4 linked regions of the Lytechinus pictus genome follow. The protein of the gene in region 3 binds, or shares a complex with, the protein of the main gene of each other region. Links are inferred from orthologs where the notes say so. Each region holds a gene or a part of one and is shown on either strand. Other genes may lie near its edges. The genes, in order: serine/threonine-protein kinase mTOR-like, rapamycin-insensitive companion of mTOR-like, target of rapamycin complex 2 subunit MAPKAP1-like and target of rapamycin complex subunit lst8-like.

Region 1 (7,639 bases), on a different chromosome or scaffold from region 3:
TATGTGTGATCCTGAACAAGATTCGTATGTAACTAGATGGTAAATGCGAACGCCAAGCGCGAGCAGAAAATTTTATTAACTGTTCTAGCATTATCGAAAAGGGACCTGTTAAGGACTGCTTACAGTTACCCACGAAGACGGTATATATTTCAATAATGCGAGCGCGAAGCGCGAGCAAATTTTTTTGACATTCCGACCTAAAAAAATTGTCATTCTAAGCACTTATTGTATTAATAAATGGGATAGGTATGTAACTAAACAATTGATGCGAGCGCGAAGCGCGAGAGGAAGAAAATTTAGATTTTAGACCTAAAAGCGGGACACTCTATTCATATTTTGTAAATCATAAATAGGATATAGTTAATTGGGTATCATTAATAATGCGATCGTGAAGCGTGAGCAGACAATTATTGATATTCTGATGTGAAACTGGATAATTTTAATATAAAGAACATGCAGGCTATCGCGCATGTTTTTGATTTAGACCTAGAATCTGGGCCGTCTGAATACATTTGTTTATGGAATACACGTAGACAATAGGAACTTGGCAAATCAAACAATTTGACCACACAGCGTGAGCTTAAAAATACTGATATGTAGACTATAAAAGGGACATTTTACAGCTAGAGCACTTAATTTTTTTAATGAAAAAAAATTGATGAAAGCTCGATGTCCGAGCTAAAATATATTTTGTATATTGACTTCAAAACTTGCTCCATATCAGCCTATTGAGCAAGATATGAATCTCATCGAACAGGCAATTCTGGCGCGAAGCGCAAGCAAAAGTTTTATATAATAACATGAAAGATTTTTTTTTTTGCAAGTCTTCCCTTCACATTATTTCATTCACTCGTCTTCCTCCTCTTTTTTTCTTATGTCGTTCTTCTTTTTTTCCTTTTTTCTTTTCTTCTTTCTCCTTTTTTTTTGCCCTGCCAATTTTTTCAGGGGGGGGCACCTGGGGGGGCACACCAAATCTCAGGGGGGGCACGTGCCCCCCCAGGCCCCCCCGTAGCTACGCCACTGTGCATACAGCTGTGCTCTAGATCTAGCACAGCCTATTCAGACTCAGGGAGCTGCGATAAAAAAATGTTGCTGCTGAGAAATCTTCCACAGAACTTTGAAAATCTCAGTCAAAGTCACCTTTTACACCAATGAAATGCAATTCTACAGTCTATATTACGAAAATCTGGCGTACCCTGATTATTTGCAAGTATTAAGAAGAGGAATTATGACCTCTCTTTTGACTCAAAAAGACCGATTTCCACATGAATTAATACACATAAAAACACATAGGCAAGTACATCACAGTCCCACGTGTGCATTTGTATGTATGTTGATACTTGGTTTCTTTCGAAGCTGTGTATTTTCTAGCCTTAAACAAACAGACAGTTTCTTTCTTTCTTGTTATAAATGACTTCTTAAACCACTCTTGAGAAAGTAAATACTTTGGGAAGGCATTTCATTGATATGAAATGTGATTTTTTTTCCTACATTTTGGCAAATATAGGGAAGGACTTTTCTCACACTTTTTTTCCAGATATAGTTTTTGCCGTTTTCTTTTTTTTTTTCCTTTTTTTTTTACAGTGGTTAAACCATTTATACCCCTTCCTATTGAATATGCCTGATTAAAAATTATTTTTCTACTGAAAATAAAATAATACAAACTAAAGGATATAAAAATAGAAATGTGCCATTCCCAAAAGGCAAGTGAAAATTATTTGCTTGGCTTTTAATTATATTCCAGTCAGAATAGACTGTTGCCACAGCTGTTAAAAAATATATGTAATGGCTTCTTAATTTTCCCCTTTTCCCCATTTTTATATTAACTTTGTTTTATTAATTTTTCTTTCATTTTCTTTTCTTTTTTCTATCTGATTTTTTTCTTTTCTTTTTTTCTTTTTTTCCCTGTTCTTTGTTTTTTTCTTTCTTCATTTTCTTTCTTTTGTTTTATTTCACTAATTTCTTTTATCATTTTTGTTTTCTTTTTGTTATATACTTTTTGAAAATTATTTTTGCTTGTTTCCCCCTTTTATGCATTATTCTAATTTTGCAGCATATTTTTCTGTGATTTTCGCCTTCTATAATATGCTGCAAAAGAGAAAACAGAAATAAACTGGATTTGGGGCATGCATAATCTAGGTTTTAGGATTCAAAGAGGAAGGAAGGAAAAACCATTGTTTTGTACATCTATCTGAGTTTGCTATGCACTATTTATTTACTTTACCATTATCTCTATACAGAGAGTTAAAAAAGTCCACACAACCTGCAAACAATACAATTCATTTATTCACTTTCAATCATTTCATTTTTACAACGATAGAAACAATTATCAAAGTAAAATAACAGCAAACAAGGTTTACATACAAGATGTATAAAGTGAAAGTAACTTAGTGGTAGTGGCTGCAGAATTAATATTTCAGAAGTTTGTTTTATTCATTTTTAATGTTTTTCTTTATATTTTTCGGGCCACCAAACTTTAATATCGGGCCACCAAAAAAAATTATTTGATGGTTTTGGTGGCCCGAACGGGCCACCACCAAAAATAGTTAATGTGGAGCCTTGCTGTACACACACCTACAGGACATTTAAATCTATTCGTTCTATGCACTCACCAATTGCTAGAATTCCACCTTTCTTCTCGTTCACGTCCTGACTTGATACCAACTCAAAGATGTGGTGGTTGAGATCGTCCATAAACGAAGTGCGCTCGTCCGCCGAAACTTCCCGCAGCTCGGTGCTCACGTAGTGCTGCAGGTTTTTCGCTGCCCTGGTGCGAACATCGTCGTGTCTGCTCTTCAATCCGCCGACCAAACTATTCATTTGTGACATTTTGACTGATTTGAAAGTACCCAATCCAACTCTGAATATGCTATATCATGTCTGCAACTTTAAAAGATAAGATGACCATGAAAAGAGAAATTCGTAGTCGTAGATTATAATAATTGACGCCTCTTTTCTCTCGGCTCTCTCTCGCCACGGCCTCAGCTCATCATCTCTTCAATAACAGGAAATGCAATTTGACCTGTGACACGCATCACCGATAGAACAAATTTCCCGAAACTGAATCTCAATAGACACTGGAATTTCCTTTTTTTCTTTAATCGGACATGAAAAAAGCGAACCTACACAAGTTTGGTCCAAGTGTAAGTGACCAAAAGTCCAAATCAAGGAATTAAACTTTTTTTTTTTAAATAGCAACAAAATTACAAAATGCGAGCGCGCGGAGCGCGAGCAAAATTTTGAGCTAAAAACGGGACAGTTCTGAAAAGTGAAAAGTCTATCAAAATTTTGTTTGAAATTATGATGTCTATTTTTTATGTTAAATGATGTTCTTAAATCTTATCTTTCAAGTGCCATTAGAAAAACAAGGAAAGGATTCATGTTTTTCAAAGGCACCACAACCTTTCATGTAGCACAAAATGAAATCATTTTAATGAATTGCAAGCTCTCCCATTAACAACGCAAACCCCCTTACCTAGGTTAACGATTTTATGAAGGAATTTTCAGTATTAAAATACATCATATTTTGAAAAAAATAATGATAAATCAAGTAGGCCTAATTCAATAGTTTTGTAAATGAATTTTGACAGAATAATTATGACAAAGACAATTTAAAGGTTAAGATCGAGGAGTCTGCTGATTAGCACGAAGTCTGATGATCGATATTTTCTCATTTTCTGCCATTTTGGCGCAAGTCTTAATTTTTTAACCCCTGACAAAAAACGTTCCATGTTTGCTCAAGCATGAACGAAACTTATTTTTCTGATGGCATTTGAAAGATAAGACTTAAGAGCATATGAACATCAAAATAGAGACATTATGATTTCAAACAAAGTGATGGACTTTTCAAAACTGTCCCGTTTTTATTGATACCCACTGTGGCTTATGAGGCAAACAAAGTTACTACGTTTAATTGTAGTTTAATTGTAATTTTCGGATTACCCGGAATTACCTGGAATTTTTTCATTAATTGAAAATGATCGGGATCGTTATCCGGCCGGAATTGCACAAAAATATGTTTCTATGTAATCTACGCACCAGGGGCGGCAGAACGTATTTTCGTTTAGGGGGCAAAGCAAAAAAAAGGCACTTATTTTGATTTGAATTTATTTTTCTTCTACATAACAATATAATATAACATAAATGTAACAAACATACACTCTAAATTACAGGGATTTAAAATAAGTCTAGATGGATTGTAGTTAGGGACCAATCGATTTCTGGATTTTGTTTTAATCCTAAAGACTTAAATTTAAATCTCAAATGATTTAAATTCAAATTAAATTTAAATCTTTCGAGATTTAAAAAAGGAATCTGAAGGATTCAATTAAATCCGGAATTCGATTGGTCCCTAACTACAGTCCATGTGGACTAATTTTAAATCCCTGTAATTTAGAGTGTACATTGACAATAAATCAGGTATAAATCATTTAGCATAAAATTAATAGCAGAAGATGGATTGCCATAGTAAGCAAAAAAATGCTTGAAAAATATGACAATGAACCGAAACATATTTTAACCATATAATTATATTATGAGCAGAATGGACAATAACAAATTATTAAAGTATCAATTAAGTATAATATAAAAAGAGAAGAACAAAATCTAACAAGCCAAAACTTGCTATAATATATATAATCAAGTAAAAAAAAAAAAATGATAATGATAATGACAAATGAAGAAGATGAAGATGATGATGATGATGATGATAGTGGTGACGGTGGTGGTGGTGGTGGAAATAATGTTAATGATGATGGAAACGGAATATTAGAACATGATTATGACACAAGAAAGTTTATTTTACATATTCCGATAGTAACATGACCTTAACTTTAGCTTTGAATGAGTGTAGGGAGCAAGAGGATTTAATTGAGTCTGGGAGAGGATTCCAAAGGTCAGGACCATGAATCTTTGTCTTACGGATCTCTGGGCAATACGTAGTTTTGGATTGACTAAATGTAAATTAGAGGAATTACGGGTGGGGTAATCATGAATGGTTTTATTCAAAGTATAAAAAAATTTTAATGAATTTGGTAGCATCCCATTGAAATACTTGAAAATGAACAATAAACTTTGTAGTGTATTAATGTCAAATACTGTCAGAGTTTTTAATTGGTAAAATAATGGTTTGGAGTGAGATGAATATTGTGAACCGATACAAATGCGAAGCGCTTTCTTTTGCAATAAGTGAATAGAATTTATTTTTGTTTTGTTTGTTGTGGCCCATACTAAATTGCTATACGTTATATACGGTAAAATCAATGAATTATAAAGCAACGCAAGTGTTTTGCAAGGAATACATTTCTTTAATTTATATAGTATACCAACATTCCTAGAAATAGAAGTTATTATATGGCGTATATGTTCGTTCCAATTTAAATTTTCGTCAATGACGACACCCAAAAACTTCGTTTGATGCTTTCTTTCAAGAGGAACATTATCTATAAATATGTTGTAATGTACGTCATTTATATGAGATTGTATGTGTTTAAAATACATGAAATTAGTTTTGTTGATATTCAGAGACAATTTGTTACATTTAAACCATAAAGATAATTTCAGTAACTCATTATTTAGTGTGTCAACTAGGGTGTTAAGGTTATAATATGAGTAAAATATGTTAGTATCATCTGCAAATAATATAAACGATAGAAGAGAAGTTGTATTAGTTAAGTCATTGATATATAATTAAAAAAAGTAATGGGCCTAATATCGATCCTTGTGGGACACCGCATCGGATTGGTAGAAAAGTTGAAGAAACATCATTAAATACAACATATTGTTTTCTATTGGTTAAATAGCTTTGAAACCAGGAAAGAGCAACACCACGAATTCCATAAGAGTAAAGTTTTTGAAGTAAAATTTGGTGGTCAATCGTATCAAAGGCCTTTGATAGATCCATAAATACCCCTATTACATGTTCTTTATTGGCTATAGAATCTGTTATTTTATCATATAATCTAATCAGTGCAAGGTCAGTTGAATGACTTTTTCTGAAACCATATTGATTTGAATTTAATAAATTATGTGTATCCAAAAACTTGTATAGCCTCTTGTAAATAATCTTTTCAATGATTTTAGATATACTAGGGAGAATCGATTTAGGTCTATAATTACTTATTTCATGAGGGTTGTCTTTCTTAAAAATAGGATTTACTTTAGCAATTTTTAAGCACTCTGGACATTTCCCAGTATTGAGTGAGAGATTAAAAATATGAGTCAGAGGGGGTGCAATAAAATGTATAATTTTTTTATATAGGCCGGCTATGTCAAAATTGGCATTTTTGTGCAACCCGATATTCACCATGAGATCATCATCTGCGTGAAGTAGTTGTGTGTAGTGAAAAGTAAAGTCCACCCCTGGAAAATGTTGATTTGATTAAAGAGAGAAAAATCAAACTAGCAAAACGCTTAAAATTTCATCAAAATCGGATGTATATTAAAGGAGAATGAAATCCTTGAAACCAGCTGAATCCATATCAAAGAGAAAAATCAAAGAAACATATTGTTGAAAGTTTGAGGAAGATTGAATGAATAATAAGAAAGTTATGAGCATTTGAATATTGAGATCACTAATGCCATGTTGATCTTCCCATTGGCAATGCGACCAAGATCTGTGATATGTCACACACGTACAACTCCCTCATTACTTTAGTACTTATTTCACTTATTCTCACTTTTATAGTATATCACAAGGTGAGGTGTTCTCTTTATGAGAGGACAAGTCCGGGGACAAGTACAGAGGTTTCACAACATTATATCATTGATGAATCGTTTGTCATATGATGAGAATGATCGAGCAAAAAGAGATGTTTTGGGGTATATTTTCAGTGTCCAAAAGGGGAGAGTTGTTCATCTGTGACATCATAGATCTTGGTCGCATTGCCAATTGGAGGATCTCCATAGCATTAGTGATCTCGACATTCAAATGCTCATAACTCTTCTATTGCTAGTCCTATTTTACTCAAACTTTTGTTGATCTTATTCTTTGATTTTACTGCTTTCACAAAAGCTAACTTGCTCCAAGAGTTTCATTCTCCTTTAAGAAAGTTATGACATTTTAAAGTTTTGCTTATTTGTCATAAGACAGTGAAATGCACAACTCAAAGAGGCAGACGATGGTGTCCCTCACTCACTATTTCTTTTGGGTTTTTTTTGTTTGAATTATACAATATTTCATTTTGTATAGATTTGACAGTGAGGACCAACTTGACTGAATCATACAATATTTAAAGGTCAAGTCCACCTCAGAAAAATGTTGATTTGAATCAATAGAGAAAAATCAGACAAGCACAATGCTGAAAATTTCATCAAAATCGGATGTAAAATAAGAAAGTTATGACATTTCAAAGTTTCGCTTATTTTTAACAAAATAGTTATATGAACGAGCCAGTTACATCCAAATGAGAGAGTCGATGACGTCACTCACTCACTATTTCTTTTGTTTTTTATTGTTTGAATTATACAATATTTCAATTTTTACGAATTTGATGATTAGGACCTCCTTGCCTGAAGCACATGCAAAATGTTAAAATAATGGAATTCCACGTGTTCAGGGAGGAATGAAACTTCATTTCACATGACAATGACAAGAAAATCAAAATATTTCATATTTCATATAATAAAATACAAAAGAAAT
Region 2 (7,886 bases), on a different chromosome or scaffold from region 3:
TGTAAACTCTAGTAGTGACAGTGCACAATGGGAGAAACTTGTGCAGTTAATTTCTATCCTAAATGGCAGCAATGTATGTTCAGAAAGAGAAAAAATAATGAATATGTTGGTACAGCTTTCAATTCCACATTCAGTGCAGTTCCTGTGTATAAATAAACCGTATCCATCCCACCAAAATTGATTCAAATATTAATAACGGGGCCAGGGCAGTCCAACTGGCAATTAACAAAGTTCGTTCTCTCCCCAGATCTGAAGTTCTCAAACCAAAAAGTGACAAGGAGACCACCGACAGAATACCGCTTGTGACCACCTTCCATCCCAATCTACCCCCTCTCCGCAAAATCCTGTTTGATAACCACCACATTTTACACACTTCTGATCGTCTCCAACAGGCCGTTCCCGATACTCCCCTTCTAGCATACCGACGCCCACCGAATCTCAGGGACCTCATTGTTCGTGCTGAAGTGCCCTCCCTCACTAACCATTCTTCTCCCATACAGCATGGCACCTTCAAATGCACCAGCAACAGGTGCATCATATGTGAAATACACCTTCACGAGGGCGATACTTTCACCAGCAACTCTACCAGCCTGTCTCACCAAATCAAGGGCAACATCACATGCACTACCACTAATGTTGTATATCTCATCACTTGCAGAGTTTGTAGGGTACAATACATAGGGGAAACCAAGACCACACTCAAGAAACGATTCTACGGGCACAGATCCACCGTCAACACAGCAAAGCTGGACACTCCAGTTGGCCGCCATTTTAACCTCCCCAACCACTCCATCACTGACATGATGCTACAGGGCATCGAATCTTTAGGTACCCGTCCTGACTCAGTCCGTACTAGCAGGGAGAAGCTCTGGATGAGACGACTTCGCACCACCCAACCTCATGGCCTGAACATCCAAGAGGGGAACGACTGATTTTTCTTTCCTATCCACTTTCAATTTATATATACATATAATTTTTCCCCTCAGCTCTTTTGAATAGTCACATTATAGTTTCTTACTCTACTTTCCTCCCATATCTCATACAAGCTCAGCTCCAATTTTTCCTTCCTTATTCAGACGATATAATAATTATTATATATATATATATATATATATATATATTTGTTTTTTCTCCACTCACCTCTTTTAGATTTACCACATTTGCTTATTTACATGTATACTATGGTTTCTTCATAATACACCCCCTCTCTTCTATATTTGCTTTTACCTTTTTAGGCAATTTGCTTCCTCTTTTTCACATATACAGGTTTTTTTTTTTTTTTTTTTTTTTTTTTTTTTCCCTACTATATAGTCTTATGTTTTTTTCCCGTCACACCTAGCGGATTACAATATCAGTTACACCATATGTGTTTTTATATATTTTTTCATATACATTTCTTTTTTGGATATATTTATATACATATCACTTATAGATACATATTTACACTTACCTTCTTCTCTTAGTTTGTTTAATGCTTTATCATATATACTTATATGTCTTTTGCACATTATCAGTTGTTCCCCATTCTTCTTCTTCTTCTTTTTCCTTTTTTTTCCCCCCACTCTTATGCACCAGTTTATTAAGCCTTTCTTTGTAACCTGTTTGACCCACCTCTCACTAATTCTCTTGTTTTTCATCCCATTATCACTGTTTTGTTCCAGATCCTGTTTGATGTTGCCTGCCTCATTATTTTAATCCCTCTTGGCTTGAGGTCTTTTACTGGCCTTACTTACACTAACTTCCCTTTGTGTCTGCCTACTCCTTTTCTTTCATCCCCTTCACTAACCTGATTGGTCTTCTCTACTCACTAATGCCCCTTTTGTCTCCCTGTTTCTAGTGTTGCTGTAGCTTGTTTGTGGTCTATATTATGGTTGTTCCACTTTATATGTTTGTCATTTTGCCTCCGACGAAGATTCTGCTAGGATCGAAAGCTTAGGCCCCTTTTTGACTTTCTAAATATTAATAGTCAAATACAGCAATGCATTTTAACACTCAAAATTTCATCAAATTCTATAATGTGAAACATAGGAAAGCAAGGCATTTCTCTTTTCAAAATACAAATGCAGAACTCTATGATGTCAAACACCCATTATATATTTCATGAAATATACTGTATCCATTATCCAAATCTTTATAGTATTGATTTTGAAGATAAGTTTAAATGACCATGATTTTTCTTACATGTATTCTAGGATCATTTGGGAAACTAAAATATTTGAAATTTCACCAAAGAATGTGTAATATCATTGAGTCTCTTGATTGCATTCTAGCAGTATTCTGTATTATTATCATTTAAATACAGCAAAATTTGAAAATTATGCCATACCTTTCTTCAACATCCAGAGTGTAGAAGAGGTTGGGGGGGGGGGGGAGGGGTGCATAAACATATAATATAGGGCCTTCATATACATATACATGTACAGTGTAAGGTCAAATAGTTGAAATAGCTGTCGAATGTAAGTTGCATGTTTGTGATTGTAGATGGCTAATAACCAGGGGCATTGGTGATGACACACACGTGAGAAATAGCCATGCCTGTCCCGTATCCATCCTCTTCACTCATCGCAACCTGTGTTCAGACAAAAGAGATAAAAATATGTATGGTTGTTTTGAATGCAATTTTTTTTTATATCCTTTTTAATTTGGGTGCTTCTTTTCACAACGTTAACATGTAAGTCTGCAACATTGGTTAAGTTTCTACATTGCAATGAATGGGCATTTCCAGGGCTCGTTTTGTTTTTAGCATTTCAGGGGCTAAATTACCCCCATTCCCTGTGTAATTTTTTGCCTGGGTTGTTTGAAGGAACAGTACGCCAATATGCTTTTCACACTGCATTTCCTAAACCCCATACTATCCTTATAAAAAAAACGAGACTACCCTTAAACCCATACTATCTTTTTTTTTGGTTTCACACTGTCTTTCTTAACCCCATGCTATTTGCTTAGCCAGGGTTAATGCCTTAACCCCGGACTATCGCACAGCTCATGAATATTGACGATTTTGCCACATTTGCAATTTCGACTTCTGTGATTGGCTAATGCATAGCCCCCCCCCCCTTTTCCTTTGCCCAGTTTCATTTTACCCTGCATCTCTTAGCACCGCGTGGTGCTAGCACTGCAATAAACCGGTTAACCCTGCATTTTTGCAGGGCCAGATACATGTACATGTAGTACCATACTTTTTACCGTGCTAGCCCACTTTGCTAAAACGTAGTGTGAAACCGAAGTAAAGCTTAACCCCAGGAAATTGATGGGTCTAAGAACCCCCCCCCCCCTGAGCCCCACCAATTTCCAGGGGTTAAAGAAAATATGTGCAGTGTGAAAAACATACAAGTGACATGAAATACCAACATCAACTTTTGGTAATTTATATGAATGTTCATTTTCAACTTTCTGATATTCAGATGAAATGAAGTTTTATCACAAAAACATTCATGCGAAAATAGAAAATATGCAATATAAAATCTGATAACAAGCAAAATTTGTATTGTTGTGTATTTTAAAAAGTTGGGTCTGAGACAAAGGTTAATTTTTGTCTTTTTGGTATAAATCCACTTGTCAAGCATAAAATAAGACAGCATTTTGCAGATACAATATCTGCATTTATAACAGCATTTATTTTTCTGATACAAACTATTTAAATTTATAGGATGAATGTTTGGACACTCTTAATTAATTCCATAAAGCAAAAATGATTACATTGCATTCTTTACAAGAGAATGTATCTGTTGTCAAACTCAAATTACCACCAATAATCATTTGATGAATTAGGATATAAGGGTCACTAGACTTGAAAAAAAATCATGTATTTTTGTTCAAACCTTTCCATATATTAGCTACATGTACATGTACATATATAGTCCACAGTTTTCCACAATACAGAAAAAGGTAAAATTTCACAGAATTCAGTGAACATGAAAATTCATTCACAAACTTTATCAGCATGAAACTTACATTCTTTTAGCATTTTTTATATTGTTCCGCAATATCAGTCACCAGAGAATACAGATTTGCCATTTAGAAATTGGAACCTAAGCTTTGGACAGGTTTTACGTTTGGTTTTTGAAGGAGAATGTGAATTGGGCTTGTAGTGCACAGCTGAGGGTGTATAGGTTTAACCTTGACTTTGACAGTTGTTAGGAAATTGTTTTGTTTTGGAGGAAATGTTGGTTGTAACCCTCCCATTCTTGGCAAGAGGATGTTTTTATGAATCGGGAGGAGGCGTGTACCAATTTGATTGTTCTTGATGGGAATGATTCCATGATGTTTATAAAACAACACCCATGTAAAGTTTGTTTGCACTTTTTTGCTGACATTAAATTTAGAACTTGAAAAAGTATGTTTGAAGGGACAATGAAGTGTAGTGTCAACTTTGGAGAAAAAAAAGTATGAAAAATATGGTTTGACAGTTAATACCCAACTTATATAATACTAAGTATTTTTTTGAATAAGGTGAATGTCACCCATTTCAGCTGTATGTCATCTTGCCATTTTAGTTTTCATTGAAGATCAAATTAACATAATTGTTGAACAAAATTCTGAATATGTTTCTTTCGTTTTGTGAAAGGGTAATTTGATTGTATCAGGTCTATCCTTCTGCCCATGACCATAATTGAAAAAAAAATCACAATTTCTATTATAAAAGTAGAATATTTCATGTGAAAAATAGTGAATTTTCATCTACAATTTTGCTCTGAGCCAATCATATTGAAGGATATCATTTACTTTGACAGTCAGTGAAAACCCAAACTGATCCATGAAATGCTCCCCTTTCAAACTTCTTCTATTGAGTTCTAAATGTATAAATTTTAGTATTTTGAGGAAATAATACATGTAGATTTCATCTTAATTACAAGTATAATTTCTCGTTTTGATTACATAGCTTATCAACCATGTATCCAACCTTGACAAGCTGGGCTATTCAGTTGCAGAGGTCATTTGTTGGTAAGTATTCCATCTTGATTGTCAAACCTGTCTATTATGGCTACTGAGGGGAAACAGAGAGAGTTGCCACTGAATACAAGTGGCCTTTTGTAGAGACAGGTTCTATAAAATATTTCTTTCAAATAGGAGACAATTCTGATGGCCACTAAAGACAGGTTTTCACTTTATAGGCAGGTGGTTGCTATGAGACAGGTTTGACTATATAAGAATGAACCAAATCGATTGTTATGTTGGCCTCGTCCGACCGACCGTAAAATGCGAAAAACCAGTCGCTTCTTTTTTAGCACACTCAACATAAGGATCCCTTTTTAGACCTAAATCAAGGGAATTTTTTTTTGTAAAATAGAGATTTTGTTCACTTTTTCATTCATTTTGGGAGACTTTACACAAACACACAAGATGAGCTCATACATGTTCAATATAACCACTTGATGGCCTTGGTCTTAGAAGGCTTATGGTTTATCATCATTTGAATTGTATAAAGATGTACAGATGCATTCCATTGAATTAAAAAAAGAAGCTTGGAGCATATTATTTTAATATTTAGTATTACATACAATTTGGACAGTTGGGTTTGTTTTAGATGCTTTTGAGTATCATGCCCAATACCAGGAGATTTGAAACCGATGATTTTTATTCATATTTCAAAGGACTATTCATTGTAAGCATACAAGTATGTATGTACATAAAAAAGAGAAAGGAACTTCCAATGCAAGAGGCCTTTACAGGCTATTGTAAATAAGCCTACCATGCTTACATGTGCAATTGTACATGTACAGGAATTTGTAAAGCATAGAGCGGATCCACTGACCATGGCTGCGCTACAGTGCCCACATATGGTTCTAAATATAGATATGACGCAGATCCGATATATAGGTCATCTATCCCTCCCTTTCAACCCTCGGATGTAACCTACATTCAAATGTTCTCCTCATGAGCATGAATTGTGTTGCTATGGTAACCAGATAATAATGCAGGTAAATGTTACTGCACTTCCCATTCGTGAATTCAGAATTGAGTGTATGCCATTTTACTTTTTTGGTTTTGAAAATTTGTCCGATACCAGTGTATCCATATCTAAAATAAGGAATTCACAATAAATAAGATCTTTGTCCACTATCTATGCCTCATACAATTTTATGTACATGTAGGCTCACACATGAGAGCTTCAATAAATAAGTTAGAATATTATTCATAAAATATGGTTAAAAAATTAGTTGCCATTCATTGGAAGGGAATGGAACATGGAAGTTCACGTCATGCACTTGTACAGTACATCTTAAAAAAGGAAAATAGCCGATTACATGCTAGGGAAAGATGCACCACCTCCCATTCTTTAATTCTGTGATTAACAACTTTTTTTAGCTCTCAAGTTTCTACAAATTTGATACATTACTTTTAAGATTTATTTGTTTACATAGTTAACTTGAGACTGGTTGTAGGCCTGCTGTTAACTCTGTTGACTGTTGTACATGTAGGGCCTATGTCATTTACATGTACGTCATTTACAAGTAGGTAGTTTATTACAATTGGCATCCTTGAAAGCTAATTAAATTTATAACACCACAGCACATGAAAACAGGTACAATGTTAAGTGCATACACCTTTTATACAATACTTTGTGTATGGCACAGATTGTGAGAAGAGGGAAAAAATACAGTAGGCTGTGATTTAAGTTTGAGATTGTGATCATGTTGATATATATCTAGAGTTGATATGAAAACAGTATGTTGGCATCCATACATCACTGGTAAAATAGATGTGAGGTATCAGACATACTGTTCATTGTACAATGTATGTACCATACTCAACATGCATCGACATACAGTGTGGATTGATTGGTCTATGTTGAGTATGTGTGCTTGCATAATTGCAATCATGTTGAGCTCCATGATTAATTGCACAATAAGAAATGTCCTCTAAATTTTCTAGATTTATGCCCACAATTTGTAAGATTTTTGTTTTCCTATGTTTTTTTCCAGTTACTTGTAGGCTGTAGCATCATTTTAAAGTACATTTACAGGAGATTCAGAGATTATTCCCCCCTATTACTTTAGTTTCTTGTGAAGAAAATATGTTTTCCTTGTACAGACAGGTTTCTCATCATTTCCGAAGCATGTTTGTTATTTCCTTGGTGAAATACCACTAGTTAAAGAATGAATTGTACATGTACTATACACTGTAGTACAAAGTGTGAAATTGTTGATTACCGGTAGTTTAATGTCATGTAAATGTGACAGATAGGCCTACATGAAGTACATGTACTATAATCATACATAAAATTGAAAACAAAAAACAAAAACAAGTCGTTGACATTACATTTTTCTGTCTTGTACGTAATATAATTTCAAGATTTTATTCTTGACTCGGTCCCTCAGGTACTACATTAGCTACACATCGGAAAGCAAAATAATTCTTTCTCATATTTCTTTTTTATTCCTCTTGTTTTCTTTACAAATGTTTTTGGGAATCTGAAGCACAGTACAATACAATAGGTGCAAACTTAGGCCTGGTTTTTTTTTTACAGGTTAGGATATTTTTAAAGCCTGATAAACTGGCCTTTGTTCTTGACACAGTCTTTCTTATCTCTCTACTGCTGTCACTCTGATCCTATGCCTCGTATATTGGCTGTCATAAAGTGTAGGCCTATCTGACACTGGTTTACCCCCAGCACGTGTACAAAAAAGTTTGAAGTGATAGGACAAAAATAGGTTTTAGAGATTGGACTTACAGTCTGTCATTGTACAGCTGAAGTGCAAAAACATGAGGTCATAAGCCTTTGAATTCATTCATGTACATGTTCACCTTTACAAAATGATTTGCCTTTAATATTTAATGTTTAAAAAAATATCTGTTGTAAGACTTGTGGGGTGTTGGAAGCCAATTTTAGGGCCCAAAATCGATCATAAGTCTTGCAATAAAATTATTGCAAATGTGTTATT
Region 3 (7,671 bases):
TTCTCAGCCCATCAAGGAAATCATTGAAAATAATTTTACATTTTTCCAGTCAGGGAAAAATCAGGGAATTTGATATAAAATACTCCAAATCAGGGAAAAATGCCTCAAATGAGGGAAAAATCAGGGAATCTCGATCGGCCCAAAAGTCGAAAGCACTGTAGTCAGTCAGACTCTGTTATATATTGTTGCATATCAAAACAACATCCATTGAATGACTGGTTATGGTGGTACTATTTAGTTTTACATTGTTGTTTTATACTGAACATACATGTAATTCACTGTGACAACTTAGAAAACATGCGAAACTGGGAATGGGTTTAAATAATTATCATGGAATTTTTAAACTTCATCAGGGAAAAAATCAGAGAATTTTGTTTTCTTGAAAAGCTGGGAACCCTGGTACATGGTTTCCCACGGCATGGTGGCCCAGTGGTAGAGTGCCTGCCTTGCGCCAGGAGGTTGTTGGATCAAGTCTCGACCAAGTCATGCCAAAGACTTGTTAAAAAGCCAGCACGCTTGCAAGGGGGTTTGGTATATTACAGATTAGAGAAGGGTACGATAATTACCAAGCCCCCTACACGTATAATTGCCTGGATTTGAAATAAAAAGCTATTGCTTATTGTTTTCAGTAGGTAAGTTGTGGTTAGTGAAAAAAATTGATGGAAAACTATAACTCCCAAGAGAATGATGATAGATGCAATTATTACAAGAATATGTATACGAACAAGTGGAGCAGCCCAGCGGATTAGTCCCTGGACCCTGAAAAACAAAAGCCATGGGTTCAAATCCCAGCCATGGCAAAGTTTGTCTGACGGACAACAAAAAATGGTGAAAATCAACTAATTTATTGGTCTGAATCTACCAAAATGCTGGTTGATGTTGATCATTTTCTATTGGTCAGACGCATACTTATCAACAGATAGGTTACTTTAAACAATCCCTTTTATTAATTGTGATTTAATGACTTGCGATTGATTTGGACATACAAGGTCGACTTGCGATCGATTGCAAGTGTCTTTCACCATGGACTTAATGATTATAGATGGCACACTAATTTTGAAGTGGTATGAGCTCCCGATGAAGACTGACAAAATGTCTTCGACGGTAGATTAAAACAATTACTGGAGCTCCTTTGAATATTGTCAGCGGTTGTTAATTGTTCAAGATTTTAGCCTCCCCCATTTATCATCCCCTGCATTTGTATTGGATTTCTCCATCAATTAGCATTCATTAAACTTAATGGAAGGTACTTAGTCCCACTGATGAAGGGATCGTGTAGGCTCAAGAGGAAAAGATGTTGGGAATATCTCCAGCGCTTGCTCCTAAAAATGACAACAATCATATTGTTATGTGTGTAGTCTTTATAAGGTCAGTAAATATGCTCACCTGAGTGAGGTAGCTTGGAGACAAGACATAAAACTAAAGCCTATTTTGTCTGTCTAACTGATTAACTTAATACAAAATATGTCACAATGGCCCAGCCAGGCTTGATCAGTAGGACTATAGGACCATAATATTCATACAGTCCTGTCAATTACACCAAGCAAGGCTTTTCTATATCTTTCTAAACTTTAAAAAGAAAATCTACTTTTTTTCAATACAAATTAACGTGGCATGTTAAGAGTTGAACAAAAATGCAAAATTAAATGAGAAAAATGCACTTTTTGCTCTTTTGAGTAAATAAATTCACACTTCACTGCATTGTCAATTTAAGGCCTGTAATAATGACTTTTGATTATATTATTCTTATTCGTGAAGGACTTAATATAACATAAACAATTGGGAAATTTTCTGAAATTTGGCATTATGATTTCCTCCTAGTTATTGCTATTATTTTAAGATAGAAAATGTTTCAAATCGGACACCGTTCTCACTATCTTCCTAAGACTAGTTTACTGGAAACTAGTTTAGGGGGAAACTAGTTTAATGTGTAGTGAGAATGGTCAAAGAGATCTTTCAAACGAGTTCAAAAAAACCACTTCGCGATGTAGTTTTCAAGATCACTTTGCCTCGTTAAACTGGTTTTAGCGCAAGTGAGAACACAACCGTTCTTCGGGAAGCGATCTTCGCACATTTTGAGCGTGCTACTCCACATGACAGGTGTAGAATGCCTACGCTGCAGTTTTGAATTTCGCGAGAAACGTGTCACCCACTGAGAGCATTTCTATAGCAACAAGATCGCTATACGTGAAGTGATTTTGAAAACCACTTTCGTGTGATAATAATAGCCAATTTTTATAAAGCGCTTTTCCCAGAATGGCTCAAAGCGCGTTACAGCATAATTACCCCGGTCATTGGATTCATTTCAATCCCGCATGAAAAGTGCACAATTTCCACTCCCTGGGGAGCATTCCTTGCATTCATCGCAGCCTCATTATGGCGCTCGCAAAATCAAACAATATCTTTTGCATCCTACCGGGTACCCATTTAGCACCTGGGTCGAGAGTGGCAAAGTGTGGATTAGCGCCTTGCCAAAGGACGCTAAACCGCCGTGGGATTTGAACACACGACCCTCTGTTTACAAGGCGAGAGTCAGAACCACTACACCATGGCTCTTCCACTTGTGATCAAGTGGGAACGCTAGCAAAGCGATCTTCCAAACCGGTTTCCTGAGTCGGTTTCCAGTATAGTTTTAGAAAGCGTGCCTATTTTCTTGATACTAGAATCAGGAACTGGTTTTCTAGTACAAAGTAATAAGGGACATCGATATGGAGTGAGAAAAGTATGAGTGATTATGATCTAACTTTTTTTCAAGATGTTATAAAAAAACATGCAATTTCTATATCTTCATCTACACATCTTTTCTCAGCCTTACTTAATAAAGAGATATTTTTTGTTAATTTTTAAGCCAAGTTGTATAATCTATGTGAGACTGCCAAGGGTGTTTGTAGTTGTTGTCGTTATTTAAATGTCCATTAACCCTATTTAGGTACAGCCCCGATAAAAACCTTACAAAACTCTAAATGACTTCCAAGTTATAGCATTATCATGGGAAAATTACATGACAACTCATAATGAATTCAATAGTATCTGTTTTACTCTGCCATCAGTCTTATTGGTGGTTGCCAGTTGTGGCTCGCTGGGTATAGATCTGCGCTTGAATATTTTATGAATGATGTATTTGTTTTTTTCATATCTTGTTCTGATGTAACTTCAGTATTTGCCTTTTTTATTTGTATTTTTTAATGTAACTTACATCGATGGGAAGGTTTTTGCAACATTTGAAGTATTTCAAAAGCATCATAGGTTACTTGTAACTTGTAAGAGGCGAAATGCTGATGGAACTATAATGATGGTGATGATGATGGTGATGATGATGATAATGATAATGATGATGGTGATGATGATTATGATAATGATGATGATGGTGATGATGATGCTGCTGCTGTTACTAAGTACTGCTGCATGATGATTATGATGGTGGTGATGATGATGTTAATGATGATAATGATGATGCTGCTGCTGATGATGACAGTGATGATGATGATGATGATGATGCTGATGATAATGGTGATGCTGCTGCTGCTACTACTGCTGCATGATGATGGATGATGATGAAATGATGATTATTGTGATGATGATGATTATGATGGTGGTGATGATGATGGTGATGATGATGGTGATGATGGTGATGATGATGCTCATGATGATGCTGCTGCTGTTACTACTGCATGATGATGATGATGATGATGCTGATGATTATGATGGTGGTGATGATGATGTTAATGATGATTCTGCTGCTGATGATGACAGTGATGATGATGATGATGCTGATGATAATGGTGATGCTGCTGCTGCTACTACTGCTGCATGATGATGGATGATGATGAAATGATGATTATTGTGATGATGATGATGATTATGATGGTGGTGATGATGATGGTGATGATGATGCTGATGATAATGGTGATGCTGCTGCTGCTACTACTGCTGCATGATGATGGATGATGATGAAATGATGATTATTGTGATGATGATGATGATGATGATTATGATGGTGGTGATGATGATGGTGATGATGATGCTGATGATAATGGTGATGCTGCTGCTGCTACTACTGCTGCATGATGATGGATGATGATGAAATGATGATTATTGTGATGATGATTATGATGATGATAATGATGATGCTGATGATGCTGATGATGATGATGCTGCTGCTACTACTACTGCTGCATGATGATTATGATGATGGATGATGATGAAATGATTATGGTGATGATGATGATGATGATGCTGGTGCTCATGATAATGATGATGCTGCTGCTGTTACTACTGCTGCATGATGATAATGATGATGCTGCTGATGATGACGGTGATGGTGACGATGATGATGATGATGCTGCTGCTGCTACTACTGCTGCATGATGATGATGATGATGCTGATGATGATGACGGTGATGATGAAGGTGATGATGATGATGATGATGCTCATGATAATGATGATGCTGCTGCATGATGATTATGATGATGATGATGGTGGTGATAGATGATGATGATGCATGATGATGATGATGGTGATGCATGATGCATGATGCATGATGATGATGATGATGATGATGATGGTGATAGTGATGGTGATAGTGATGGGGGAATAAGGTGTTATTGATCAATATTTTATTAATGATTTCTTCATCACTTTATTCTCTTGAAGGGTCATGCTGGTGCAGGAGGCGTGAAACGCATCGAAATCTTTTTAACGATGGTCGAACCTAGCATTCCTGATAGAAGATTCTTAAAGGTTGTCGTGACAAACAACGCCAAAGTCCAAGATCTGATCGGTCTCATCTGCTGGCACTATGTGAATAAAGGTCTACAGCCAGAACTCAAGTTAGTCAGAAATAGCATCTTGTCCTATTGTGAAAAATTAAAATCAGTTTTTTATTTCCAGGGATTAGTCGTTACATTGTTCACAGTATTTTTACAATCTTTCCAAATCAAGATTATTATGCGCTCTATTTATAGGTGATGCTAGCTGAAGATTTCAGCATGTTGAAGGATAAACCCACCCCAACAAAAAGTTGATTTGAATAAAAAGGAGAAAAATCCAACAAGCATAGCACTGAAAATTTCACCAAAATCGGATGTAAAATAAGAAAGTTATGACATTTGAAAGTTTTGATTCATTTCACAAAACAGGTATATGCACAAGTATGCTGGTTGATATGCAAATGAGCAGACTGATGACGTCACCCACTCACTATTTCTTTTGTATTTCATGATATGAAATATGAAAAATTATAAATTTCTCTTCATTGTAATGTGAATTTTTTTTTATTCCTCCCTGAACATGTTGCATTACCATTATTTTAACAGTTTATGGTAAAGTCAAATTGGTTCATAGTGTCAAATCTGTAAAAATCGAAATATTGTATAATTCTAACAATAACGAACAAAATAGATAGTGAGGGACATCATCGACTCATGTGCATATAAGTAGACCGGCCAAAACGATTTTTTATACTTTGGACGGCAAAATTTGTTAATGCTTGCTAATGCTTGGCATCCCAGCTAATAGTCTTGCAAAAATACCCAGGAATAGCGTACGGCCGGATGCCAAGCGCAATTTTGCGTGAAAGTGTCCTTTTTAGCGTAAAATCTGAAAGAATGTCGAAATTCACGCATTTTGATATTTTGACGGATTATTTTAATATTTTTGATTATCTTTGATATGAAATTATTTTTATTCAGAGTTTCAAATTATAAGTTTCATAAATATGCATTTCAAATTTGAATATTACACACACACATATGGCACAGGGAAACTTAAAACCGCGATTTCCTCAAAATAAAAGTTTGTGAAAACTATCAATAGTTAAAAGTTTTTTACGCAACTTAAATTCTTCGATTTAAATGCGTTTCTCAATCGAATGTATAGTAAATGTCCTAATGCCACAAATATTAAAAGAATTTTCAAGTAAGATGGAATATATCTCATTTTATGTTATCCGAAAGGAGACAATGTGCATTTCACCAGGTGCGCATTTTGAAAGAAAAATTGAAAATACCGTACATTATGTACATAATTACATGTATAAGTGTACATACTAAAGCGAGTTTTTAATTACTAAGTACACACTAAAGCGAGTTTTTAATTGAATAGCACAATTTGTCAATTCTTTGCATCCCAGTCAAATTCTTGCGGAAATACTGAGGAATAACGTACGTGCGGATGCCAAGTGCACTTTTGCGTGAAAGTATCATTTTTAGCGTGAAATCTGAAAGACTGTCGAAAATCACGCATTTTGATATTTTGACGGATCATCACCATATTTTTGATTATCTTTGATATGGAATTATTTTTATTCAGAGTTTCAAATTATAAGTCTACTAAATATGCATTTCAATTTGGAATATTACACACACATATATGGCAATATGACATAAAAAATCGTGATTTACTCAAAATAGAAGTTTGTGAACACTATCAATAGTTCTAAGTTTGTTTACAACTTAAATTCTTCGATTTAAATTGGTTCAATTATTGAATATCGATCGTTTATAATGTCACAAATATTAAAAGAATTTTCAAGTAAGATGGAAGAAATATTTTCCGAAAGGGGGCATGCAAAATTTAGCGGGGGGGGGGGGGCATTTTGAATGTAAAATTGAAGATACTGTAAACTATTGACATAATTACATGAATAAGTACATACTTAAAACGATTTACAAAATTTCTGGCCGCAACTGGCTCTTCCCCCCTCCCCCTCCCCCCGCTGCCTAAGGTCATGTGTAGTGTCCGAAAGGATTACATGGAGCTGAAAGTATCCCGTTTTCAAGATAATATACCACTAGCGTAAAGGGGGGGGGCAGACTGCCCCCCGACGAGTCACAACAAATGCAGGGGACGTACCCCTGCCCCCCCCCCCCCCCCCCCCCCCCCGACGATTTTTTTTTTTCTGGTACAAAATCCTTTATTTGTGGTTGAAAACTTTTTTTTTTCTTGTAATTTTTTTCGCGGACGAAATGTCCTCAAAAAAATTGCCCCCCCCCCTTTGGAAAATCCTGGGTACGCCGCTGTAATATACCCAAAGTATTCTGATGGCGATTCTAGTGTATATTTTATTGTGGTTTAGCGAGATAGGCACCCTACACGGGATTACAAAAAGATGGCAAATAAATTTTCGACTCGAGATTCGCGCTGGCATTAATATATGAGATAAACAACTTGCTATCTGTTTTTAAAAAAACCTCGCCTGAAGTGTCAACTTCTCAGAATCCAGTCGCATCCAGTCCATTATTAAATAAATGTGAATACTGTATGTCTAATCTTTAGCTCTTAGTCTCTCCCAATTTTAGCTCGCGCTTTTGCGCTAACGTTTTTGTTAAGTAAGATATTCATCTTTTTCTACATTAAAAACATGTTTAAAATCCTTCGTTTAATTCGACATTTTCAGTTCACGCTTCGCGCTCGCATCAAATGCTATAATTAAATACTGATCATTGTTCATGATTTGACGATTTTTGTTTTACCTCATTTGCTAAGAAAGCGTGAATGCTTCTAAGCAAGCAACCAGATCACCGATGGCTTAAGGTACCCTCCGAGGGACCTATAGGATTAAAATGCCTTACTTGGCACTAGCGCGCCAAGTGAGAATCGAACCCAGGCCACCGGAATCCGAAACCCCCTCACTACCGATTGAGCTATCGCGCCTTAGAATGTTTCGTTTC
Region 4 (7,008 bases), on a different chromosome or scaffold from region 3:
CACATCTAGATGTCACTCTGTGTGATATCCAACGTTTTGATGAACATATAGCTACGCCCAAGCTTCTTCGGCGAAGTAAGTGGTTTTCCGAGACATGGACGCAGCCATCTTTGCTGAGATCGACTGCGCAACAGTCTGGAACTTGACACACCGATGCATGTCAATCGGTTTTTCTCTATTATACTCAATAGGAGCATACACTTTTCTATGCAGATTTATATAGCAGCCAACCTATACGGTATGCACACGCAATATTACCACGGTAAATCATAGATAAGAGATACTCTAGCGCAAAGAAAACGTACGGGCGGTTAAGGGCGGTTCAGTGTGTAATAGGAAGGGCGGTCTCGGGCGGTTCAGGTGCTATAGGGTTAAAAAGCATCCCTTGGCATTGAACCACTTTTCATGATATTCTTTCCAACTCCTAGGTACATGGAAAAAAAAACCATGATAGCTCAAAAATTCATCATCATCATCATCAATTCATCATCATCACCATCACCATCATCTTCATCATCATCATCATCATCATCATCACCATCATCTTCATCATCTTCATCATCATCATCATCATCATCATCATCTTCACCTTCACCTTCACCACCATCATCCTCATCAAAACCACCACCAGTCCACCAATATCACTGTCACAACCTTTGAACATCATCTCCATCATCACCAGCAGCATCATCTTCACCATAACCAACACCTTCATCATCATTGTCTGAACCTTCTTTAAATCAGTACCTTACTTTCCACCACTGCCACCAAACTCATTAGCATCACCATCCCCATCACCTTTGTCATCGCCACCACCACCATTATCTTCATCACCACCAACAGCATCATCTTCACTATAACCAACACCTTCATCATCATTGTCTGAACCTTTGTTAAATCAGTACCTTACTTTCCACCACTGCCACCAAACTCATTATCATCACCATCCCCATCACCTTTGTCATCGCCACCACCACCACTATCATCACCACCAGTATAATCATGAAATCTCCTTGACAACCACTAGCATCCATGCATTTGTAATACATGTACATTGAAGCAGGTCTTGTTTTGTAAATGTTAAAGTGAATGAGTTGTGCAATGAACTTGTGAGAAAGGTGAAGAGAATCATTGTAATTGTTCAAGTTCCTTTTTACTTTTAAGAAGTATATACCTAGGAAAAAAGCAACAATTCTTCCATCTTATTCAGCAATTTGTGCATTGCAGTACTGATACTGCAATACACAATTACTTTGAGACAGTTCAACCCACAATAGTCTTGATTACTATACAGGGCTCAAATATAAATATGTCACAAGCAGCCATGTTGGAGGACAGAACAATGGGAGTCATGTGAATTGCTAGACCATAAAAACAATGATTAATCACAGTTTGAAGCACAGGTTTTTTCTGTTTGTCATCCAACATGGCTGCCCGTGGTAACCCTCTTCAGATGAATCTGACTTAACAGCACTTTAACTCATGATGATGGCCTTATGGGATGGAAGGGGGGGGGGGGCAGTGAGCTTCCAAACAGAATAAACACACAAAACTGTAATTTCAATAGGTTATGCAAAATGCAAGACCAGGTGTTGCCATATCAGCTTATGATTGAATTGCTGAAACTTAATTATTACCAATTCAAATCTATATAGGCCCTACAGGTTTCTTTCCTGTGAGCTAATACAAAACAATGAATAGAATCCAGTTTGCATATAATTTAGTTGATGCTAGGTCTGGACATTCTTCAATAAGATTTGAGGTTGTTAAGATCAGTAGAGCCTTTATTTATTAAATAAAGGTAGGCCTATGCATAAAACTGTTAAGCATGATCAGGTCTAAAGGGAATATCCAGCGTAGACTTACCTTTTATATTGATCAGGCATTGGAAGTGCTTGAGATGGAACTCCATAAATTATGTTTTGGGTCTCCATCTTGAATGAAATTCTAAAAATCTCCAGCTAGTAGTAGTATGAGTCACAGCATAAATGTTGTTTCAGATCTAGTAGAGATAAGGGGGAGGAAAATCGTTCTTTTATAGTAGATCTACAAATAAATAACTCAAAATAAATTATAAATCACCCAACGGCCCTAGGCAATGTGATTCACACAACTTCCAAACAAGGTGGTGAACCATGAGTCTCGCCTGATTTCTCCATCAATAAATTATACAAAATGATCTTTTGACCCCTAAATGACTTTGATCTTATTGATCATTCTAGTGGACACACGTGTGGTATCATCCAATGATATTTTTACCAAGTGTAAACACAATTGATGCAGAAATTAGGAAGGCAAGTTAAAACAAGTGGAACGCCTCTAGCAGTCTCGCCTGCATTACGCAATTCGATATAGCAGCAGTGCTGCCTCTGAAAACAGCTAATGAATAAATATTCGTAGAAGAAAACACTAATATAATAATAAAATATGTCCATTCACCCAAAATGACCTTTGACCATGATCATGTGACCTAAGACATGTGCAAAACACTCATTCATACTTGATTACCTTTATGTCATTGAGCTAGATCCATAAACTTTCTAAATGACCTTTGACCTTGGTCATATGACTTGAAACTCGCACAGGATGTTCAAGGATACTTGATTGCTCTTGTAAACACTGCGTGTCTAAGTTTTATGAACTAGATCCATAAAATTTCAAAGTTATGATGACAATTCCTCAAATACCCCTACGATGGCTAAAGTTCATTGACCCCAAGTGACCTTTGACCTTGGTCATGTGACCTGAAACTTGCATATGATATTCTGGGATACATAGTTGCTCTTATGTCCAAGTTTCATGAACTAGATCCATAAACTTTTAAAGTTATGACAATTCCTTAAAAAAAACCTAACATGGCCAAAGTTTATTGACCCTAAGTGACCTTTGACTTTAATCATGTGACCTGAAACTCAGGCAGGATCTTCAGTGATACATTATTACCCTTATGTCTAAGTTTTATGAACTAGGTCCATATACTTATGACAACATTTCAAAAACTTAACCTTGGTTAAGATTTCGATATTGATTCTCCCAACATGGTCTAAGTTCATTAACCCTAAATGACCTTTGACCTTAGTCATGTAACCTGAAACTCAGGCATGATGTTCAGTAATACTTGATTACCCATGTAATCATGTACATTAAGTGGTGAATTAACCAATTAAGACTTTTCTGAGTAACTCTCCAAAGTCCTAACATGCCTAAGTAATACGTTCTATTGCCCGTTGTCTCTTCTGTACGTCTTCCAGTTTCAAGTTTAAGGTAAAAGTTTCAGCTTCATTCGAGATAGGGGTCTAGAAATAACTTTTCAAGCTCGAGTTTGGTAGGGCCTGACATTATTTCTGTCAGTTATGATCGATCATGTCTTTCAAACTAATTCAAATTAAAACATGTAACGTTAACTTAAAAGTTAAGTTCAACTGAGTTACATATTCTTATTTATTTGTAGTACATTTGACAATCACAAGAGTTAACTTTTACCTGTTTTCCCAGGTTATCACCAGGAGCTGGACATTGAGGAACAGAAGATCCTGTGTCCAGAACTGAACCTTTGGCTTTGTAACCTGGCTTATGTAACTTTCTCAGCTGGCTCCGGGCACGTATTGGAATTCGGACCGCCGCAGTACTGAACTTCCCCTTTCACTGACGTGACAGTGACACTGTCACTACAGCCTTACAGGCTACACACAGTTCAACTCTGTCTCTGAGAACCAGTATAACGTTAGTATTGACGGCTAAATATCCATATTTTCTTCCACTAAAATTTAAAAATGCATTCAAACTTTCGCTTTCCAACAGTTGTGTCAGCGTCGGCTTAACGTTTCACAGTATTGCATTAGAACGAGAAGCACATTGCAAAGTGGCGTGCTATGCTAGCGAGCTGCTGTAGTCTGACGGCTGAGTACGAGTATTTTTCATGATATGCAGGCATGATCTGCATGCCGCGCGCGCCGCGCCGCGCTCTCTAGCTCCTCCGCCCTCGCGCTGGCCTGGATATGGATGCTGCCGATGTAATTGCGCGATCGAGCTAGCTAGCAAGCTAATACGGTCTTCGCCTTGTTTACAAACAAAAGACTGGTATCATTTTGTACCGTAAGCTCATGGATAGACTATGCGATTTCATTTTACGAGAAGGGCTACCATACCGAGCCTGTAATGCACCTTCATATGATCAGTGCGGAAGCTGCTTTCTTTGATTAGTCTGGTTCTCTCTATTCCCCTTCAGCTGGTTACTTCTTAGCAGTTTTAAACAGAAATGGGAAATCCAAGCGATCAAATAATTCTCGCCACTGCCGGCTATGACCAAACTATTCGTTTCTGGCACGCACACACGGGTATTTGCCACCGCACTGTCCAACATCAAGAATCGGTGAGTTTCATGAAATTGTGTGTGGTAATCTATTGGATTTTTTATTAAGGTTATAGTCGGTCAAGAGTTTGAAGAGGGCGTGTCCGATGCGAAAGTGTGATGTCGTTGGTGGGTGGCGAGTGAGTGGGGGGTGGGGGGGGGGTTGCATTGTAGCTCTTTGCTTTAAGAGAAAAAAGAAATAGGCCTAGACATAGTAGCTTTTTTATATCTATTTCCTCTTCAAATTTTACTTAATCCTTTTATCTTGGCCTTTGAATTTGAAGTAATGTCCCTGCCATTGAATCAGTCCATCCTGACCTGGGTTGGGGTTAGCCAGGAGGCTCCTAGAGAGTAAAAATCATACACTAACGTGTGCTTATTTCATGGAGCTAGGCATATCATAACCTTGTTCATTGAATGAGTGGAGCCAGGGATTGTGCCCCATTCATGTGCATATACCGCGGTCAACATTGCAAATTTTGCCCCGAGATTTCTACTTTCCCTGTAAAAGATCTAAATCATGTAAATGGGCTAGAAATTAATTTCCAACATTTATACAATTTCGATTTCATTTTGAAACAATTATTCTTTAAAAAAAAGAGAAAAATATTATGAAAAGACAGGAAAGAAACTTGCCGGTGCGATGTTTACATGGCCATCTTGTTCTCTTTGTTAGTAGCTAAGATACGAGACGCTACGGCATATAGAGGGCGGCAGACATCTGCCACCCTCTAATTGTATTATTAAGCCAAGGGGAATTTGCATAGAAAGATGATGAAAATTAAGGGGCCAAAATACATTTGCAAAGTCATATTCTCAAAAATATAATATCTAGTCAGTGATATGTTGATTTCCACATTTTCCCACTGAAAAAAATGGGTGCCAAGGTGTTTGACTATTCATGAATTCTGTGCTAAGATGTACAATCTGATTGGCATTTCTTTTTATGACTCTCAATGTACATGTACATTCTAAACTTAAGAAAACAACTACTTTTAAGCAGCCTCAACACTGATGTAGAAACTGTGGTTCATGTGTAAAATATTTGTTTATTAAGGTACCACAAATAGCAAGCTTTCTGTTTATTTCATAGCTTTAAAATCTGTGATGGGTTTTAGTCAACTCTGTAGATAATTCGAAACTATGAAAGTTGTAGCTTGGAAGCATTAACCAGTCAGCAGCATGTTCATGTTGAAGTTGTGAAAATTGAGATTGACGGCGATGAAGAACAGTCTTTATATCAACCAGCTGTTGCTCAATGCTCTGTACATCAGTTAGCAAAAAAAAAACATGTCTATTGTGTATGTACTCAAATTTATTTGCTGGTGAAAATAGTGGTTTGGGAGAGCAAGTAATTGAAATAGTCACGTTTTTTGGCAGATGTAGGTGATATAAAATGTATGATTTTTTTTTTGTAACTCATAGGCTATACTGTATGTGCTCATAAAATTACACAGATGCCAATTTAAGTGCTTATATTGCTTTGATTGAGTTGTTGCTTACCATAATATATTAAGGGGGTGATTAAAAATTAGGGAAGTAATTGCGATTATTGTAATTGTATTAAATCAGACATTAAATTTCTTTAATTTTATGGCAAGGGTGTTTTTCTATATTGCAGCACAAATGGAAAATATAAAAAAGAACACTGGAAATCTTCAAGACTTGTGATCATGAGAAGGGCATTGAGTTAAATCAGCACCCATAGTGTTTGATAGCATTTGATTAATTTAAGCCCAGTTTAATTACCATTATTATTGTCATTTGACTCATTATAATCCTTTCCTCTTTCCAACCCACAGCAAGTCAATCATTTGGAAATCACCCCGGACAGGAGTTTATTAGCTGCTGCAGGTGAGTATTAATATGGAAAACAGATTTAGCTTCTCCATCACAGATTCTCTAAACTATTTGCACATTTCTACAACTTTGTGTTCCATATTTGTCACACACTACTTCAATGAAGAACTGAAGGGGACTCCTAAGATTGCTGTGATCGTGAATGATAGCAGTACTTTTTACCTCTAGGCTCTATTAAAGAGCGGTAATGTTATTTCAGAGTTTTGTGAAAAACAGAATTTGTATTAATAAATGTCTTTGGTGAAATAAAATAGACATGCTCCTTGCATAAAATATAAAAACTGCTCTGAAGACTGAATTTCTATCAATTATTTTAACTTAAGTTCTTCCCTAGAAGCATACACTGGAATGAACTTTTAAAATATTAAAATTCAGTTCAAAGAAATTCACCCCCGGTATTTTGTCATCTTCTTTATAGGTTACCAGCACATCCGTATGTATGATATCAACTCAGGAGACACCACACCAATCATCAACTATGAGGGAATCCCTAAGAATGTTACATCGGTTGGGTTCCAGGAGGAAGGCAAATGGATGTTCACAGGTGGAGAGGACTGCACTGCTAGGATATGGGATCTCAGGTATGAAGGTGTTGTACAACAAAAGAGATGCAATCAATATTAAGTTTGATTGTTCCTTTTAGATTGTTTGTATACTGACAGATGCCATTGACTGTACAATTGATTGCATCATTTTATGTAGGGTTCTGATGTTGCTTTTATTTATAGAAGGCATCAACATTGGTGACTAATTCTTTTGGATGAACATTAATTGTGGAAAATGAGAAAATTTATGCC

What was found.
Region 1: target of rapamycin complex 2 subunit MAPKAP1-like (region 3) and serine/threonine-protein kinase mTOR-like share a complex: the UniProt entries of both Homo sapiens proteins name them as parts of the mechanistic target of rapamycin complex. The link is inferred for Lytechinus pictus from reciprocal best matches to the Homo sapiens genes MAPKAP1 and MTOR.
Region 2: the proteins of target of rapamycin complex 2 subunit MAPKAP1-like (region 3) and rapamycin-insensitive companion of mTOR-like are in contact, whole or in part, in a cryo-EM structure (PDB 7PE7), measured with the Homo sapiens proteins. The link is inferred for Lytechinus pictus from reciprocal best matches to the Homo sapiens genes MAPKAP1 and RICTOR. Residues at the interface, in NP_001006618.1 of Homo sapiens: Ala2, Phe3, Leu4, Asp5, Asn6, Pro7, Ile9, Ile10, Leu11, Ala12, His13, Ile14, Arg15, Gln16, Ser17, His18, Thr20, Ser21, Asp22, Asp23, Thr24, Met26, Cys27, Met29, Val30, Leu31, Ile32, Asp35, Val36, Ser84; in NP_689969.2 of Homo sapiens: Arg108, Gln137, Glu140, Thr144, Leu147, Arg148, Arg151, Lys152, Thr155, Arg182, Met183, Arg185, Ala186, Ala189, Cys192, Glu193, Leu196, Leu220, Arg222, Ile223, Glu225, Ala226, Leu227, Thr229, Thr230, His233, Asn236, Arg293, Trp295, Glu844.
Region 4: the proteins of target of rapamycin complex 2 subunit MAPKAP1-like (region 3) and target of rapamycin complex subunit lst8-like are in contact, whole or in part, in a cryo-EM structure (PDB 7PE8), measured with the Homo sapiens proteins. The link is inferred for Lytechinus pictus from reciprocal best matches to the Homo sapiens genes MAPKAP1 and MLST8. Residues at the interface, in NP_001006618.1 of Homo sapiens: Lys102, Cys103, Lys104, Asn105, Ile106, Gln107, Trp108, Lys109, Arg111, Asn112, Ser113, Lys121, Leu123, Phe124, Glu125, Lys126, Lys127, Ser128, Leu129, Gly137, Lys138, Gln139, Ser140, Ile141, Leu142, Val144, Arg145, Leu146; in NP_001186102.1 of Homo sapiens: Ala29, His30, Pro77, Ile78, Ile79, Ser80, Tyr81, Asp82, Gly83, Arg98, Arg110, Ile111, Trp112, Gln120, Cys121, Gln122, Arg123, Ile124, Asn139, Gln140, Ala141, Leu157, Lys158, Ile203, Glu206, Ser279, Gly280, Asp281, Gln283, Asp322.

What each region holds. Positions count from the first base shown.
Region 1 is NC_087258.1:3,792,242-3,799,880, forward strand, and holds the start of serine/threonine-protein kinase mTOR-like, read right to left. Parts: upstream 3,015-7,639; 5' UTR 2,830-3,014; coding exon 2,613-2,829; intron 1-2,612. UniProt on the Homo sapiens protein: Serine/threonine protein kinase which is a central regulator of cellular metabolism, growth and survival in response to hormones, growth factors, nutrients, energy and stress signals.
Region 2 is NC_087255.1:32,403,519-32,411,404, forward strand, and holds the start of rapamycin-insensitive companion of mTOR-like, read left to right. Parts: upstream 1-4,886; 5' UTR 4,887-4,944; intron 4,945-7,886. UniProt on the Homo sapiens protein: Component of the mechanistic target of rapamycin complex 2 (mTORC2), which transduces signals from growth factors to pathways involved in proliferation, cytoskeletal organization, lipogenesis and anabolic output.
Region 3 is NC_087259.1:8,588,648-8,596,318, reverse strand, and holds the start of target of rapamycin complex 2 subunit MAPKAP1-like, read left to right. Parts: upstream 1-4,657; 5' UTR 4,658-4,702; coding exon 4,703-4,830; intron 4,831-7,671. UniProt on the Homo sapiens protein: Component of the mechanistic target of rapamycin complex 2 (mTORC2), which transduces signals from growth factors to pathways involved in proliferation, cytoskeletal organization, lipogenesis and anabolic output.
Region 4 is NC_087254.1:30,996,855-31,003,862, forward strand, and holds the start of target of rapamycin complex subunit lst8-like, read left to right. Parts: upstream 1-3,989; 5' UTR 3,990-4,258; coding exon 4,259-4,372; intron 4,373-6,153; coding exon 6,154-6,205; intron 6,206-6,629; coding exon 6,630-6,792; intron 6,793-7,008. Other genes in the region: hexosaminidase D-like, read right to left, coding at 1,867-1,934.